2 linked regions of the Rattus norvegicus genome follow. The protein of the gene in region 1 binds, or shares a complex with, the protein of each later gene. Links are inferred from orthologs where the notes say so. Each region holds a gene or a part of one and is shown on either strand. Other genes may lie near its edges.

Evidence for each region.
Region 2: the proteins of Rabgef1 (region 1) and Rab21 are in contact, whole or in part, in a crystal structure (PDB 2OT3), measured with the Homo sapiens proteins. The link is inferred for Rattus norvegicus from reciprocal best matches to the Homo sapiens genes RABGEF1 and RAB21. Residues at the interface, in NP_001273991.1 of Homo sapiens: Leu253, Cys254, Lys296, Phe299, Asn300, Lys303, Pro309, Ala310, Ser311, Ala312, Asp313, Phe315, Leu316, Pro317, Ile320, Leu347, Met348, Thr349, Gly350, Glu351, Gly353, Tyr354, Tyr355, Thr357, Asn358, Cys360, Cys361, Ala364, Phe365, Ser373; in NP_055814.1 of Homo sapiens: Ser19, Phe20, Lys21, Gly26, Glu27, Gly28, Lys32, Thr33, Leu37, Thr50, Thr51, Leu52, Gln53, Ala54, Ser55, Phe56, Ala71, Trp73, Asp74, Thr75, Ala76, Gly77, Gln78, Arg80, Phe81, Leu84, Ile87, Tyr88, Asp91.

What each region holds. Positions count from the first base shown.
Region 1 is NC_086030.1:32,094,555-32,098,564, forward strand, and holds the end of Rabgef1 (rab5 GDP/GTP exchange factor), read right to left. Parts: intron 3,299-4,010; coding exon 2,900-3,298; 3' UTR 1,784-2,899; downstream 1-1,783. UniProt on the Homo sapiens protein: Rab effector protein acting as linker between gamma-adaptin, RAB4A or RAB5A. Involved in endocytic membrane fusion and membrane trafficking of recycling endosomes. Stimulates nucleotide exchange on RAB5A. Can act as a ubiquitin ligase.
Region 2 is NC_086025.1:52,810,846-52,816,837, forward strand, and holds the start of Rab21 (ras-related protein Rab-21), read right to left. Parts: upstream 4,099-5,992; 5' UTR 3,879-4,098; coding exon 3,726-3,878; intron 1-3,725. UniProt on the Homo sapiens protein: The small GTPases Rab are key regulators of intracellular membrane trafficking, from the formation of transport vesicles to their fusion with membranes.

The DNA.
Region 1 (4,010 bases):
ACCGAACCCAGGGCCTTGTGCTTGCTAGACAAGCGCTCTACCACTGAGCCAAATCCCCAGCCCCTTTGTTTTTTTTTGTTTTTTTTTTTTTTTCGTTTTCTTTTTTCGGGGCTGGGGATCGAACCCAGAGCCTTGTGCTTCTTAGGCAAGCGCTCTACCCCTGAGCCAAATCCCCAACCCCCTTGTTTTGTTTTTTAAGATAAACGGTATCTTCCACTGGCCTGGAACTCTCCAAGCAGACTAGGCCGCCAGGGCCAGTGAGCCCCGAGACCCTCCTGCCACTACTTCCTCAGAGCTGTGATTACAAGAACATAATTACCGTGCCAGGATTTTAACACAGGTTCTGGGGATTAAACCCAGGGCCTCACACTTACAAAGCTTGCTATTTTACCTACTGGGCCATCTTATCTCCTTAGCCTCTTCCTTGGCGCCTGACCCTCATTCACTGCCTCCTGAGTGAACTTGGGGAACAGCTGATTCAACTGCTCTATGTCTTTAGTGACCGTTGACGTGCCGAATTCGGTCTAGTTAACAGCATAAATAAAGCACTAAAGTTTTAAATGTCACGCTGGAGAGATGGCTCGACAGATACCGGTGCATACTGCTCTTACAGAGGACCTGAGCTTGGTTCTCAGCAGCTCAAGCAGGTAGCTCACTACAGCTCCCTGTAACTCTAGGTCCGGGGGGGGGGGGGGGGGATCTGACGCCCTCTAGTGGCCTCCATAAGTACCTGCACTCACACACATGCACACACAGAGACACATACGTAATGAAAAACAAAATACTTTTTAAAAGTTGTATTTTTGTCCTACTTTTATTCCAAAAATTCTTATGCTGCATATGTGTAGTAAACATTTAGGAAAATATGTTGAGAAAGGAAGAAAGCCTTTCTCAGCTCCTTGAATGCTATGACACTGTTGAAGAATGGCGTCCTGAGGAACAACTAATTTCACAAAGGTGCTGATAACCATGCAGAAGAGTCATCCATCTGGGGTATAACCTGGTTATAAAAATTCCACAGGGATTAGAGAAGAGTCCCGCGAGGCAGGGCCTCACAGAGGGAGACATCAAGTAATATTACACTATATAATCTTTGGTTCTAGCTTATTAACTATACCAGGTGCATAACCCACTGGCTGACAAGAGACCGGTGATTTTTAGTACAGGCTAATTCTGTCCCCCAGGAGACACCAGATAGAGACAGGTTTCTTTAGTCTTTCTCTTTTTGAGACAAGGAGTTCTATAGTCCAGGCTTTCTTCAAACTCACTATGTGTATGAGGATGATCTGAACTCCTGATAAGTCCTTATCACATGATAACACATGGGGGGCGGGCTGCCGGCATCTACTGGTACAGAAAGCAGAAACCCTACTCAATACCCCACAATGTACAAGGCAGTGTTGCCATAACAACAAAACCTTAGGCCACAATTGTCAATTCAGAGGTTAGAAGTTCTGAGATGTCTATGTGACCTGCTGTCTGTTACCTGTTGATAAAGGTAAAGCAAACTATGAAGGGCGCAAGGCACCCACTTGCTCCGCGCTTTGAGAAGTTCCCTGTCAACTCCCATTAGCCTCATTCATTCGCTCCAACTTGCATCCACGACCACATCGTTGTATCACGGAACTCGGTGATGCTTTGTCTGCATGAGCTAAATGTGATGGTACAAACCCACCAATCCCGACGTCGGGAGGCTGAGGTTGGAGGATCACAAGTTTGAGGACAGCCTGGGTTACATAGCAACAGCCTGTCCCAAAAGACCAAGGAACAAAACAGAACCAATCAATTCAAAAAGGCAATAGCCCCCATAACATTGTGGGGGAAGTTTATTGGATGAATTAGGGAAAGGAAGCTATGAGCACAGTTCAAAGTCAACCGTACTAATTAGCAACAGTGTGTTCATGTGTATGTGGTACACATGTGTGTAGAGGTACACAGGCACAGATGTAGGCATGTGGAAGCCAGAGGTCAACCTTGGCTATCATTTCTCAGGAGCTGTCCATCTTGGTTCCTTTGTTTAATCAGGGTCAGGAGGACATTCCCCCAGGAACCTGCCCATCTGTGCCTTCCAGCAGCACTGTTCCAACTGTGCGTCACCATGTCTGGCTTTTCACATGGGGGGCTGGACAGGAAGCTCAGGTCCTTGAACCAGTGTGGAAAGCACTTTACTGCCTGAGCTACCACCCCAGGGTCCCAGAACAATTCTTTATGTGACCTAAAAGTTGGTGTCACAACTTCATTAACATGTACCAGGACCTCAGAGTTAGGGCAGTTAGTGCTAGTGTCCTGTTAAAGCTCATGTATTTTTAGATTATTTTTAGTGGGACAAACAAACCAAATAAAATGGTGCTAAAGGCAAACATTCAATATATTTCATTTTCACCTAAAAAAAAAAATCAGCTCATGAAATGCCATGCACGCTGATACCACCCCTCCCAGCCCTATTTTTTTTTACATATTTACAATTTTACATATTTACTTATTAACATTATCTTCTATCTTTACAATTACAAAATTATTTCACACTGGGAGAGTGTGGGAACATAGAATTCATTTCAACATAGACTTTATAGCATCTGTTTTATCCTTTAAAAGACAGTGTTTGCCCAAAACCAACAACAGTGTCTACCACAGAGGAAGCCCGTGGGAGAATCAGAAAGGACATAAAAGATTGACACAGAATTCACACAAACCTACTTCACCAACTCAAATAAATAGGACATTATTATTTACTAAGCTTCCCCTGCTAGGAAAAAAAAAAGAAAATAAACAATCCCTAAATCTGTACCTTAAAAATACTTTGAAATTGTAAGCAGTTAATTCATACTCCAGACCCAAACAGTGGAACGCAGCAGCTCCCTGAAATCAGCCCCAAATCAAGCCGGCCGTGAGCGAGACATCACCCTGCATACACCTGCGGCTGCAGAGGGGGAGGGAGCTTGTCGTTCTCCACATTCTCAGAGTCAATGGCTGCTAAGGGTTGGTTTGGGGGCTTAATCTCAAGAGGGTACTTCTCAACAATGTCTTGAACTTCCTTGGCGATCCCATCTGTCCAGTCTATTAAGTCTTTTTCGAGTTTCTTGGCTTCAGTCATGATTCTTTCCTGCCGTTCATTCAGCTGAGACAGGAGGTCCAAGTTCTTATACATTTGCTTCACACCTAAGCAGGCCTCCGGGGACCAACTCTCAGACTCTTGCTTCCTGGGGGACGTCTGGCCAGACATGTACCGGTCAAAATCCTCCTGACTTAAATTCAAAGACTGAGCGTCTAGTTTCTCAATGAAAGCCACAGCACAGCACTGCAGAGGAAAGAGAAGAGCATGGCGGTCAGGCAGAAAGGCCGAAAGAAGTCAGGAGTTCCCCATTCCTAGTGCTGGGGGATTAAACACAGGACCTAGTGCATGCTAGGCAGGTGCTCTGCATCCTCTGCCCTGCCTCAGCGATACCTGGCAGCCCAGGCTAGCCCTAAATTCACTACATAGCCAAGAATGATCTTGAATTCCTAATCTTCTGGACCCTTGTAGCTCTGCGTCTAGAGTCCTGAGAGTGCAGGCTTGGGCACCAGGACTGGCTGGTCTCTTTTTAAGACAGGGACTCACTATGTAACCCAGCACTTTTGATCTGCCCACCCCATCCTCTCAGTCGCTGCTGTGCACTGGCATGTCCAGTTTTCTGGACACTTGATTTTCCCTTTTTTCCAGAATCTTCCACAGCATCATAGCTCTCCTTCCCTGTTCCTCAGCAGACTCTATTCTCTGCTCTCCCAGCTGTTTCCCACCTAGGAGCACTCCCAGGTCTGTGCCTGAACCTTCCCTGAGCTGTCATTTATCATATGTGAAACATATGCTATACCTAGTGAACTTTCCAAACCCTGTTCATGTCTGTGGCAATGCTGAATTGCCACTGGAGTAATTCCACACCAGTATCGGTGGATTCCTCCTCGCAGCAGATCACGTGGGGCTGTAGAATGCTAATGCCAGGCAAGCAACAGGAGGCAAAGAGATGAGCAGC
Region 2 (5,992 bases), on another chromosome or scaffold:
TGAGAGACCTGTGAAGAAAGCATTCCCATTTTATAGGTGGGCCAGTTTACCACCATGACCGTTCATAACTCAGTCTAATTTCAGAGTCCCACTACTCCTTTCCACTGCTGTCATGAGACTTCCTGATAGAACTGGGGGCTGCTCACACGTGGTGTATTTTGTTATCTGCATCTGACCAATCATCCCGTGACAGTCCTTATGCGCAAGGCTAATGAGATAGGAGAGCATCAGGCTGGAATAACTGGCCAAGCTTCACTAAAGGATTTGTGTTTACTGTATGTAGCAGCCCCAAAAGGACAACTCCATTAACAACTGTTTTCACTCAGGAGGAGGAGGGGATCGTGGATGTTCTGAAACAACCCAATCCTGAAACAGTAAACAGCTGAAGAAAACCTAATCTCTGGCCATGCATCACAGGAGTACACTGGAGCTTGCTACTAAGCTCTATATTTGCTCCCCCAAACCCCATCCCTTTGGAAGTCTTTGTGAACTGAAGAGAACATTGAAGGCCTTCTAACTAAATCAAGTAAGGAAATTAAGGTGCAGCCATTCTATACGACAGGTTCCATATCTTTCTTCTTTGCAGAACTCGGGACAGACGAATACTGGCCTAAATGGGCCCAATGTTTGGGGTGGGGGAGTGCCAAATCAAGACTTAAAAGGATATTAAAGATTCATTTGTGTGTGCTTCCTGGCTGCAGATGTGATGTGACCAGTTGCTTCCCCAGGTTCCTGTCACCATGTCCCCTGCCATGACTGTACCACCAAAATATCAACTAAAACTTTTTCCATCCTTAAAAAATAGTGAAATAAAATAAAATTGGCAAGCTTTAAACACTGGTACAAATCAAGTCAACTTTAACAGATCAAGCACATTGAGAAAAAAAAATACTTTATTACAAATTCAAAGAACTGAGAACCTGAAGGAGACATGAGTTTCTTGAAGCATTTAAGACTAATACTTAGTTGACAACAAACCCAGTAGTAACCAATGCCACAACTTCCCCAGAAACTCACAGGAACTTTACTACTTCAGTGTCAGAAGAAGGGGAAGTGACTACCTGCACCTCTCTGTGCAGTCCAAGCAGGCCTGGACTCAGTCATCCCTACAGCTCAAAGCACCCCACTTAAGTAAAGGAGGACGCCAGCCGGGCAGAGGGTGGTACCTGTAATTCCAGTCACTCTGGAGACTGAAGCAGGAGGATCATGAGTCTCAGGCCAGCTTATGCAACAACAGAAACAAAGAAGGGAAAAGAAGGAAGGATGGGGGCTGGTGCCCTGACACCAGGAGTGCAGAGGACGTTAAATGCCACTAGAGATCCAATTAAAGAACCAGAGCTGTTTACCTAAGACAAAGACTCGGGAGGTCACTAGAGCCATCTCAAGGAATGTCATATGAGACCAAAGTTCCAGAGGGCAGAATTGAGACTCAAACAGATTCTGGCTCTACAAAGAGAAAAACTTGTTTGACACTAGACATAAAAGGACATGGAAAACCTCCAGGCATAGTAAGTCTTCTGTTTTCAGTGATAGCAGTTCATTTCACCTCCAAATGAACCCAGCGCCTTTGGCAGGTTAAGCAAGCTCTCTACCACTCAGCTGTATTTCCAGTCTGTGACCTCCAAGATGTCTAAAATGTTTTGAAAACAGAGTACTCTAAAGAATACTTTAAACACAAAGCCCTTTAAAAGAATATGGAGTTTGTGAAGGATTCCTCTCCCATCTCTGATGCATAATCTCCTCCTCTTGGAAATTAAAGCAACAAGAGGTTGTGTCTTACAGATGACACAAATCAAACTTCTCTGGGAAGAGTGTTGAGAACGAGGTGGTGGACAGCTACCCACAAGGAAGGAATCAGAGTGTCGTTTCCATGTGTTAGTAAACAAAACCTTCACTTCTGTCAAGTAACCCACATACTGTTTACCATGAAAACAGTTTACGCAGAAATCTAAGCTGTGATGCTATTGGTACTGAGATCCACCATAGCTCGTCCTCCCTGCGTGGTTCACACCGCCTTCTTTCCACAGACTTAAACATCTTTCATCACTTTTAGCACTGAGGGGGTCTTAAGAAATATATAACCTAAACACAGTTTCTTGGTTTGTTCTTTTGAGACAGGGTCTCACTGAGTAGCACTAGCTGGTCTGGAACTTGCTGTGCAGATCGAGTTGGCCTCCAACTCAGAGATCTGCTTGCTCTGTCTCCTGAGTCCTGGGATTAAGGATGTGTGCCACCATCGCTGGACTCGATAGTGCAGATTCTTAGGTTGAAGAGCTAAATTAACTTTGCAGTTAAGCTTTCCTACTGTAATACCTTTTTCTTGTCTCTTCCAGCATAGAACAGAGGGAAGTGTAAAATGGGTTGTTTATTATAATCTCCAGAGGCAGTGAACCATAACCTCTCAAAATCTAACGAGGGCTGAGCACCGGCTCTGCCATACCATTCACTTGGGCGTTACCACCTGACATTTACTTCTCTAGGTGCCATGCTTTATATGGAATTGAAAACAGAGGAGTAAAAATAAAGTATGGAATCAGAAACCGAGCGTCCTGGTAAACTCTACACTCGGTCGTTTAATAATAGCACCCGACATCAAATGTCACACCCATTAGGTTACGCATTCCAGTCGCATCTGTGTTAATTAAGATCAATTGCACACGATGGAGCAGTAATAATAGTGTTTACCCCATTTCCGGTGCTAAGTGCGGTTTCCATATTCACCTGGACAACTCTGTGTACTCGATATAATCATTATGGATACAGTGGCAGCAGACACCCGGGGATGCACAGGTTAAGCAATTTACCTAAGATCACAGGGCTAGAGAAATAAATGGGGGTAGGATATGAATCTAGACGGCCGAACTCAAGTCCACTAGCCTTTTTAGCCTCTGAACAGTCTGATCAAGACACATTAATAGATAATTTTCTTCTAACACATGCAAACTGATTTTTTTAGGAGAACCGGGAGATCGCAGAGCCTTCAATGGCCTGGTTTCACTTTCAATTACATTGTAACACTTCCAGACTCTTCCGCTGTAACTGTAGAAGCAAGCCCCGCGTTTCATGACATGACAGTAAAGAAAATATGTAGCAGCAGCGCCCAGATTTTTAGTTTGATGACCAATTGCTGTCTACTGTGTCATATGATGTTTCAACGTGGATAGACCAAACCTCAAAGAATAAGTGAGCCGCCACGTCCGACTCAAGAAGGCTGCAATGAAAACTGCGTAACCTGCAAGCAGCAAGCAAGCGGTCGTTTCAAAAAACCTCCAACGACGGGTGTTTTAAACCACTCCATTTACTTTGAAAGCAGGACAAAATGGAACTTGCATAAACACTTAGTCATCAGCACGCTCTGAAGTTACAAACCACCTCGTTCGCAAATTCTAATCTGCATCTAAGTTCCTACTTCGCCAGGAAAGAAGGGCTGACCAGAGACCAGAGAGTGAAAACACCTGGTGCCCCAGCAGAAGCCCATCAAAGGGGAAAACCAGCCCGCAGACTGGGGACTCCCCAACCTGCGCAGCCTCCACCAGAACTGGGGACTTTTCCGGGTCCTTTCCCTCCCCTCCGTGGGTCTTGACATCCACAGACTGCCGGGGTCCGCGTGTCCCCAAAGCAATAGCAAAAGGCAATGGGTAGGCGGGGGGTTGGGGGAGTTGACAGGCCAGAGGCAGAGGAGCGATCGGGCGCGGGTCCCTAACCAGGTTCCCCGGGGTCTGCACCTGCAGGGTGGTGATGTGCTTGTCGTTGAACTTGTTCTCGCAGTAGCGCAGCACCAGCGACGTCTTCCCCACGCAGCCTTCTCCGAGCAGCACCACCTTAAAAGAGTAGGCTCGGCCCGCCGCCGCCGCCGCCCCGCCGCCGGCCGCAGCCATCCCGCCGCTGCCCCGCCGCCCGAGCCCAGCGCCGCGCCGAGCCCCGCACCACCGCCGCCGCGGCGCCCGCTCCTCCCGGGCCCGGCTCTCTCACGCCCCGCCGAGCCCGGTGCCCGCCGCGTCCTCCAGCGGGCGAGGCCTGCGAGGGCCGAGAGAAAGTCCCAGAATGAAGGGCCCCGGCTACCACGTCAGGGACCCGAGGCTAGGAGAGAGCTACCTCTCCTCCCTCTAATGGCGTCTCCTTCCTCCTACGTCACACTCCGCGTCACGTGACCGCGGCGGGCGGAGCCTGCGGCGGGCGAGCCTGGGCCTGTTCCGGTGTCCGCACCGACCAGCTCAGCGCTCCGGGAATCCCGCGTTGGGAAGGGGTTGATCTTTGCGGCCAGACCCCACTCTGATGGGATAGAATACAGGACGCGATCGCCTGGCCCGAGGAATGGTTCCAAAGAGGACAGCCATCACGCCAGGGGGTCATCCCAGGCCAAGTCCGGCCAAGGTGCCCTTGAGTCTTTTTTCTCTGGGCTCTCAAATCCGGGCTCTTGAACTTTCCAGTTTGTCCACACGGCCAGGTCTTCTAGTCATCGTCCAGGTCTCGTCTGAAACCGGAAAGGCTTCCCTGACCACTCAGTCCTTCCCACATCCTTCCATCCCTCCTACTCACTTCCTCACTAAGATATTTCCTAACAGTGGTGTGCCTTCTTTATCACTGCTTACCACACTCGGTCGAATTCCGATTCGGTTGTATGTTTAAGGGCAAGGATTGCGGAAGACTTATCCTCCCTCGGTTCCCAGCCCTAAAAGCCAAGCTAAGAATGAATACTGCTGCATCAGTCATTAAGCCCTGCTTCCCTGGGATTTCTGTCTTTCTATACTGAGTCCACTTTGATGGGTCTGGTTTATATGACGATTTCTTGTTTTTCTTCCTGTGCTTCCACTTTTATTTCATGAAATACACTCTCCCAAGAAAGCAACCTGGTATTTCTGAAATTTTGTAAGTTGGTGCCATTTAAAATAAACTTTCGTCTCTTATTTTACACTTCAACTTAAAGGCAGCCCATTCATTCTTCAAGGACCCTGTGAATGTAGCCACTACTTGCCATGTTCTGCATCGCATTAGATACAATGTCTCTGTCCTCAGAGAGCTTACATTTTTTATTAATCAGGGAAACAACGCATGGGCAATTGCACAGTGAATAGTTTTAACGGGAAGCAGTTCAGAGTGTTTTACAAAGATACATGGGAAGCCAGCCTAGTTAGCGTCCTAGAAGAGCTTCCTGGAGAAAGTTTGCCTTTTGTGAGGAGTATCTTAGGCAAAACAGAGAGGCATAAAATAGGAAGAAGCATCTGGCATTGAGCAACTGATGTGTGTGACAAGAGGTCAGACAAGAAATCAGAGTCAAGAACATCACCTTTAAGTCAAGGCCAGCTTGTTTTGAATTGTGAGTTCTTAGTTAGTTGGAGCTTTGTAGCAAGACACTTTCAATAATAATAATAGTAATAATACAATGATGATAATATTTACAATAATAATGCAAATAGGAAAGGAACTTATGATGTAACTTGCAAGGAATCGAGTCAACTCAAAAACAGCCTTTAATCGGGTACAGAATGTTATCGGGTCCTTTTATAAAATTATCTATTATTAGAAAATTGGACAAGGGTAAAATTACTTGTGTCTATCTAGAATCAATCATTTATAGATTATTTTGTAAATTATTTTCATAGTGAGATTATATTTCTACCTTACTCCTTATGCTGGCTAGTCTACTGTCAACTTGACATACAAACTAGAGCTATCTGAAGGAGTGAAACACAGATGAGAAAATGTCTCCATAACATCCGGCAGTAAGGCATCTTCTCAATTAGTGGTCAAGGGGTGAGGACCCAGACCATGGTGGCTAGTGCCATCCCTGGGCTGGTCTTCCTGGGTTCTATAGAAGGCAGGCTGAACAAGCCATGAGAAGCAAGCAAATAAGCATCACCCTCTATGGCCTCTGCATCAGCTCCTGTCTCCAGGATCCTGCTGTTTCTGAATTCTTTTTTTTTTCCATTTTCCCAAGATTAAATGATTATTTAAAAAAACGTGCCACTGTATGGAAATCAACATTCTCTCC